Linked DNA regions of Xenopus tropicalis. The main gene of each other region encodes a partner of the protein of the gene in region 2 in a complex. Links are inferred from orthologs where the notes say so. Each region holds a gene or a part of one and is shown on either strand. Other genes may lie near its edges. The genes, in order: shh and disp1.

Region 1 (3,917 bases), on a different chromosome or scaffold from region 2:
AACCGGCCCGATCGATAGAAGCAAAGTGAGAGGCTGATGGGTCCGGGCAGATAAGGGATGAGCCTGAGTGGGACGGGAGGGAGCTGTACCCTGGGCTCATCGCCTCTCTCCGGGGCTCCCGGCTGCCCTCCGGTTGTACAGATATGTGTATATCGGTATGTAACTGCCTGACAGCTTTATACTGTATATACTGTATACCCTCATGTGTCTGTATCTGTATAGATCCGTGTGTACTACTGCCTGTATCTGCCATACACATCAGCCCAGCATGTATCGGTATATATATATATATATATATATATATATATATATATATATATATATGTGTATATTAGCGCATTTACTATTCTCAATATATGTATCCATCTCAGTCTCTTTATCGCTAGATCTATCATCTATCTATCTATCTATCTATCTATAATCTATCTATCTATCTATCTATCTATCTATCTATCATCTATCTATCATTTATCTATCTATCTATCATCTATCTATCTATCTATCTATCTATCTATCATCTATCTATCTATCTATCTATCTATCTATCTATCATCTATCTATCTATCTATCTATCTATCTATCTATCTATCTATATCTATCATCATCATCACCTATCTATCATATATCTTCTAGCTTTCTCTGTCTATCATGTAACTACAGCTAGTGCCTATATATCAGTAATGTTACATATGGCTGATAGTAAATACCAGGGTACATTTATTTCACTGTATCTATACCTAAGGAACACACTAACCCAAGGCTATAGACATCTGAGCTGATAGCCTTTCCATTCCTCCCAGGCATGGGTGTGTGGCCAGGACAAGGGTGAGGGGTTGTGCCAACAGAGCCCCTGGCAGGATTCAGGTGCCCCCTTAAGGGGTAACAGTCTCCCGGCAGTATAGAGCCAGGGGTATATCCAGATAGATCCTGTGCTAGAGGTTTCACGCCTGGCTGCCATACTGTATCTCCACACATCTGGGACATTGCAAGTGCAGGGAATCAGCCTGACCTATATATGTGCCCCCTCCCTCCCTGTCACTCAGCCGCACTCAGTCGCACAAACTCTGCAACTCTATCCAGCAGCTCCTGCTTCCAACCAACAGATCTCTCTCTATCAGCTGGAGATCCCATTTAATCAGCAATGATGTAATGTGCAGCAGCCCTTCCAGACAAAGGTACCGGTGGGCACCCATACATACCCTCACCCATTGCCCATTCTACTCACACCTTGCTGGAGATCAGTGTGGGTGCCACAAGGGGGATTTACACAAGGGACAGGGTGCAGGGGGGTCGATTGAGATTTAGCTGGTCATTTGTATGGGCTAAAGGCTGGGGACTGGCTAAACCAGGGGACCAAGGGACGTGTAAGCAAATGAATGAATGAAATATTTAGTGTGTGTATATATATATATATTTTCTTCTCTCGTTCTCTTTCTATATATATATAGCTTAGTCCTGATTCATGGGTCCTAATGTATTTTAAAGCCAATGGGGGCAGAAGAAATGGATCTGAGTTGAAACAGGTTGAATGAGGTGTAAGAATGGCAACTACAGTCATCAATATATGGTAACCACCTGAGAAGTAACTAGTGTATCTGCCATCCCCCGAATGTAAGAATGACAGTTACAGAGAAACCCATCATCAATGTATCTTTACCACCTGAGAGGTGTAGCCACCCCCCCCCCCATAGGTTTCCTACACGACCCCCCCACGTATGGCCGTACCTGAGTCATGAGTCGGTCTGCTCCGGTGTTCTCCTCGTCTTTAAAAATAATATCAGGGTTATAATTGGGGGTTAACTCTTTAAATCGATCCGAGTTCCTTGTAATCTTTCCTTCGTATCGACCACTGGCCCCCAGGGTCTTCTCAGCCACGTTGGGGATGAACTGCTTGTAGGCTAAAGGGGTGAGTTTTTTAGGGTGCCTCCTTTTGCCAATGCCTCTGCCAGGTCCACATGCCAGCCCAGGGGGGGCCACCAGAGTACAGATGAAGCCCAGCAGCAGAATTCGAGTCACAACCAGCATCTCGTCCGAGCGAAGCCAATTACATCAAAGGCTCGGAGGATGTGGAGCTGCAGCCTCCCTACTGGCTGGAGCACTGGGGTGTCCTTGTACCTCCCGGCTGGCCCCACTAGCCACCGATCCCTAGCAAGGCAGGTGTAGAAAGCCCAGTGTGCAGGTCCCCGCTAGCAGAACACATCGGGGTTTAGAGGCGACACAGCAATTAAAGCGCAAATGAGAAGCTGCGATTGCAATAAGCGCAAGCAGGGCTGCAGCCGCCTGTGAGAGGAGCCTCTGCCTTTAGAGCTATATTATAGCGAGCCCAGCCCGCCTCTGATTGGCTGGGGCCAGACAAGAGCTGTCTGGATTAACCCTTGAAAAGCTCATCAAGTGGCAAGGTTGGATTGTCTCATGGGTGAGGGCTGGGAGGGGGGGGGAGGCGTTACAGACTGAAACTTTTTTTTTTTTTTGGCAAAATGACAGAGTTGTCAGCAGCAGGGATAATAAAGGCTTCCACAGTGTCACTTACAGAATTATCTGTTTGCAGATCTATATCTCCTATGGAACCCCATGTATCCTACTGACAACTCTGTCTCTCTATCTCTGTGTATCTGTCTCTTTGCTCTTTCTTTCTCTTTGTTTCTACACACCTCTGCCACTGTTTTTGTACATACAAACACACAGACACACACACAGGCATATATACATATATACATGCACACACAGAATACCCCCTGAGCATATTCTACTAGACCTTGAATGCATGTACATAGACAAATACGTGTATAGAGAGAATAACTCAAATGGGTATTTCCTTAGATGTATCTACAGGTATATAAGTGCCTGATGGTGTATACTATATATACATATAGATATATGTAACATTACCAATATCTATCTATCATCTATCTATCTATCTATCTATCTATCTATCTATCTATCTATCTATCATCTATCTATCTATCTATCTATCAATCATCTATCTATCTATCATCTATCTATATATGATCTATCTATATCTATATATCCATCTGTCTATCTATCTATCTATCTATCTATCATCTATCATCTATCTATCTCTCTCTCTCTACATGATAGGATCGATGATGGATAGATAGATAATGGATAGATGGACAGACAGATAGATAGATGATAGATAGATAGATAGATAGATGATAGATAGATAGATAGATAGATAGATTGATGATAGATAGATAGATAGATAGATAGATAGATAGATAGATAGATGATAGACAGATAGATAGATTATAGATAGATGGTGGATAGATAGATAAATAGATAGACAGATAGATAGATAACAGAGTGATAAAGGACACAAAGTATATAATTTGCACATAGAACCACCGATAGGACATATATAGACACCCAAAAAGATAACACATAGAGATACAGAGATAGAAACAGAGAGATAACCAGAACTTCAGCTATTATGCAAACAGATGATAGAGAAACATCGAAGGATATAGGATTTTGCCAGATGATAGAAAGATAGATAGTTTGCTAGATGAATACATACATGAAAAATAGATGATAGGTGATATAGATAGATAGATAGATAGATAGACAGACAGACATATATATGATATATAGATAGATAGATAGATAGATAGATGATAGATAGATAGATAGATAGATAGATAGATAGAAAGATATAAATGATATAGATATGTGCATGAAAAGAGCAACAGATCCCAGATTTACAGACAACCTTACTGTTAGAATACAGACACACAGGGAGATTACTAGCTGCAAGGTGTATAGCTGATAGATACATACATTCGTGATATTGATACATAAATGATAGGGAGATTGCTAGATAGCGATAGATGATAGAAGGATACGGCAGATGGTATCTGAACATCTGTTACAAGATTTAGACCGATATAATTGGCAAT
Region 2 (3,917 bases):
AGCATTTTAGCTGTTGAACATTGGTGTTTGTAGTAATAGCGGCACCAGCGTACCTGATACTCAGGGTTGTCAGCAACTACAACGTTCGCCACTAGATGTCGCTGTAAGACTGTATTTCTCAGCAACAACAAACATTCCGCCACTAGATGTCGCTGCAGGACAGCATTTTAGCTGTTCAACATTGCAGTTTGTTGTAATAGCGACACCAGCGTACCTGATACTCAGGGTTGGCAGGTTGGCGGTGTTTCCCCCGAATTGGGCTACTAATTTAAAGCCTAGGTGGGTTCCCAAAGTACAAACCCGCCAAGGTACAGATTTGGGCTAGTTTTTGGAGCCTTGGGGGATTTGTAGTTAGGAAACTAGCCAAAGTTCTTTCCCCCTAGTGTGCCTGTCCCACTGCATGCTGGGTAATGTAGTTTGTAGCTAACAATTAGCCTATAGCTAGGATTAATATAAAACTACAATACCCAGCATGCAATGGGACAGTATAGACAGAGGCTCTGTTTTGTATTCTATTTTGCTCATTACTTCTATTTTTTGTAGAAATGTTTTCCATGGCGCATATTGGGCTACTTTGGCTAGTTTTGGGCTATTTTAGAACTGACTTTGGCTGGTTTTGAAAAGTACCCTGCATTCAGCTATAGATACCCGGGTGTATACATAATGCCAGGGTGCCCGCAGTGCCTGCCAATAGCAGCAGTTATATAGGATACAGGCCCCACCCCCCCAATATAAATTGGCAGGTAAAGTGATGACCTCATGGGCTCAGTGGGCCCAGCAGCATTCACTGGACTGGATTGCACTGTGTAGCCAGTTAGGGGCAACCTGCTCATTCATTGGGCCGACCCGTTCTACCAAAGCCAAATACACAGCCTGTTGTTCATACATCCAGCCGGGGGGCGGCGCTCCCACTCCCACACTGACTCCAGCCAGTAACCTATAATTATCGTTCAGTCGGTACAAGCGGTCACTTCTGTTATTATCAGCTGGGACAGCCATTTCCACATAGACCAATATGTAATAGCGCCCCCTAATGCCAAACACACGATACGGCGGATCTGTTTCTCACAAATAAATTTGGACTTTTATTAAACCAACGCGATAGCGCACCGCCAGCCACAACATGGCGCCCAGCCAGCCAAGTGGCTGGCATATCGCTGACTGGGGGCCATGTTGTGGCTGGCGGTGCGCTATCGTGTTGGTTTAACTAAAGTTCAAGTCGGAAGTTGCTATTCAGCCAATGGGATAACTCCGATGCCCCCGGGGCGTGGTTTCCTGCACAACACATGACATGACAACACAAGGGCGGTGCTTTCGCACACAGAGCGGAGAGGAACGCGTGGCGGTTGCCGTTGGTTACGCAGTTTTCTGGCGCGCTTAGGGGGCCAATGGGAGGGGCCGGTGAGTCAGTGGGTGGGACTTGAGAGTGAGTGGGAGGAGCCTGTGAGTTAGTGGCGGCGCTCGGGTCTCGCGTGAGTGCCGGGGGGGGCAGAGTGAGTGAGTGAGTGAGTGAGTGAGTGGGTGAGTGCGGGACCGAGTGCCCCGAGTGGGAGCGGAACAGGAGGGAGGAGCGGGCCCGGCGGCTCATGGTAAGTGCCTCCTCCTTATTGTGTGCCGGGCTCTTACCCACAGTTCCCTGGGAGGGGCCCCAGTACCGGCCTGGCATTCACTTATCTCCCCACACGGGTTCTTTCATTGCTTTCCGCCTCCCTGATTGTAGCTTTACTTTTTGTCATATCATCTCCCGCCCTTAGTTTGTCTTTCAGCTGTGTCCCCTTCATCTTGCCCTCAGCTTGCCTGGTGTCCCCCCCCCCTCAGCTTGCCTGGTGCCCCCCCTCAGCTTGCCTGGTGTCCCCCCCCCCTCAGCTTGCCTGGTGCCCCCCCTCAGCTTGCCTGGTGTCCCCCCCCCCTCAGCTTGCCTGGTGTCCCCCCCCCCCTCAGCTTGCCTGGTGCCCCCCCTCAGCTTGCCTGGTGTCCCCCCCCCCTCAGCTTGCCTGGTGTCCCCCCCCCTCAGCTTGCCTGGTGCCCCCCTCAGCTTGCCTGGTGCCCCCCCTCAGCTTGCCTGGTGCCCCCCCTCAGCTTGCCTGGTGTCCCCCCCCCCCTCAGCTTGCCTGGTGCCCCCCCTCAGCTTGCCTGGTGTCCCCCCCCCCTCAGCTTGCCTGGTGTCCCCCCCCCCCTCAGCTTGCCTGGTGTCCCCCCCCCTCAGCTTGCCTGGTGCCCCCCTCAGCTTGCCTGGTGTCCCCCCCCCTCAGCTTGCCTGGTGTCCCCCCCCCCCTCAGCTTGCCTGGTGTCCCCCCCCCCTCAGCTTGCCTGGTGCCCCCCTCAGCTTGCCTGGTGCCCCCCCTCAGCTTGCCTGGTGCCCCCCTCAGCTTGCCTGGTGTCCCCCCCCCCTCAGCTTGCCTGGTGTCCCCCCCCCCTCAGCTTGCCTGGTGCCCCCCCTCAGCTTGCCTGGTGTCCCCCCCCCTCAGCTTGCCTGGTGTCCCCCCCCCCCTCAGCTTGCCTGGTGTCCCCCCCCCCTCAGCTTGCCTGGTGCCCCCCTCAGCTTGCCTGGTGCCCCCCCTCAGCTTGCCTGGTGCCCCCCTCAGCTTGCCTGGTGTCCCCCCTCAGCTTGCCTGGTGCCCCCCCCTCAGCTTGCCTGGTGCCCCCCCTCAGCTTGCCTGGTGCCCCCCCTCAGCTTGCCTGGTGTCCCCCCTCAGCTTGCCTGGTGCCCCCCCCTCAGCTTGCCTGGTGCCCCCCTCAGCTTGCCTGGTGCCCCCCCCTCAGCTTGCCTGGTGCCCCCCCTCAGCTTGCCTGGTGCCCCCCTCAGCTTGCCTGGTGCCCCCCTCAGCTTGCCTGGTGCCCCCTCAGCTTGCCTGGTGCCCCCCCCTCAGCTTTCCCATAGCTTGCCTGGTGCCCCCCCTCAGCTTGCCTGGTGCCCCCCCTCAGCTTGCCTGGTGCCCCCCCTCAGCTTGCCTGGTGCCCCGCCTCAGCTTGCCTGGTGCCCCCCCTCAGCTTTCCCGTAGCTTGCCTGGTGTCCCCCCTCAGCTTTCCCGTAGCTTGCCTGGTGTCCCCCCTCAGCTGGCCTGGTGTCCCCCCTCAGCTTGCCTGGTGCCCCCCCTCAGCTTGCCTGGTGCCCCCCCTCAGCTTGCCTGGTGCCCCCCTCAGCTTTCCCGTAGCTTGCCTGGTGTCCCCCCTCAGCTTTCCCGTAGCTTGCCTGGTGTCCCCCCCTCAGCTTTCCCGTAGCTTGCCTGGTGTCCCCCCCATCAGCTTGCCTTTCAGCGCTGTCCCCCCCCCCCATCAGCTTGCCTTTCAGTGCTGTCCCCCCCCCCATCAGCTTGCCTTTCAGCGCTGTCCCCCCCCCCCCATCAGCTTGCCTTTCAGCGCTGTCCCCCCCCCCCATCAGCTTGCCTTTCAGTGCTGTCCCCCCCCCTCCAGCTTGCCTTTCAGCGGTGTCCCCCCTCAGTTTGCCTTTCAGAGATGTGCCATAATCACTCCTTGTTGCATTGCCAAATACAAAACAGTAATTCATATTCCCAGCAACAGGCTAAGGCTGATGTCAGACGTGGCGTATTCTCGGGAAACAGAAAAACGCTTGCCGAGAATACGCCCCGCGTAATGCAAAGTCTCGTGTTTTTATGCGTATTTCGCTACATGTGCCTGCGCCCCAGCGTATCTCATTCATTCGGGTGCAGGCACAGGTAGGGCACATTTACAGTAGTGGGATATATACTCTGTAAGCGGTTTTCTGCTTGCCAGGAATACGCCACGTCTGACATCAGCCTTATGTAGTGCAGAGCAGGATGGCGTGGGTGTATTTGGGCCAGTAGTGGCAGTAGGTGGCTAGTGTGGCACTGATCAGCATGCCTGCGCTCTCTCCCTGTGGATAGCAGAAGTCTGAGTTGATTAGTTTGATGGTGTGACAGGCTGATTGCATTATG

Evidence for each region.
Region 1: the proteins of disp1 (region 2) and shh are in contact, whole or in part, in a cryo-EM structure (PDB 7E2I), measured with the Homo sapiens proteins. The link is inferred for Xenopus tropicalis from reciprocal best matches to the Homo sapiens genes DISP1 and SHH. Residues at the interface, in NP_001356523.1 of Homo sapiens: Lys242, Thr244, Gly245, Tyr246, Lys247, Ala248, Glu260, His265, Arg299, Phe336, Gly337, Asp338, Leu339, Cys340, Gln341, Arg342, Thr343, Glu459, Arg899, His904, Asp906; in NP_000184.1 of Homo sapiens: Pro49, Asn50, Val51, Thr55, Leu56, Gly57, Ala58, Arg68, Glu71, Phe73, Lys74, Leu76, Thr77, Pro78, Tyr80, Pro82, Arg96, Leu97, Gln100, Lys186.

What each region holds. Positions count from the first base shown.
Region 1 is NC_030682.2:17,021,007-17,024,923, forward strand, and holds the start of shh (sonic hedgehog protein), read right to left. Parts: upstream 2,304-3,917; 5' UTR 2,026-2,303; coding exon 1,726-2,025; intron 1-1,725.
Region 2 is NC_030681.2:9,554,873-9,558,789, reverse strand, and holds the start of disp1 (protein dispatched homolog 1), read left to right. Parts: upstream 1-1,331; 5' UTR 1,332-1,401; intron 1,402-1,448; exon of another isoform or gene 1,449-1,589; intron 1,590-3,917. UniProt on the Homo sapiens protein: Functions in hedgehog (Hh) signaling. Regulates the release and extracellular accumulation of cholesterol-modified hedgehog proteins and is hence required for effective production of the Hh signal. Synergizes with SCUBE2 to cause an increase in SHH secretion.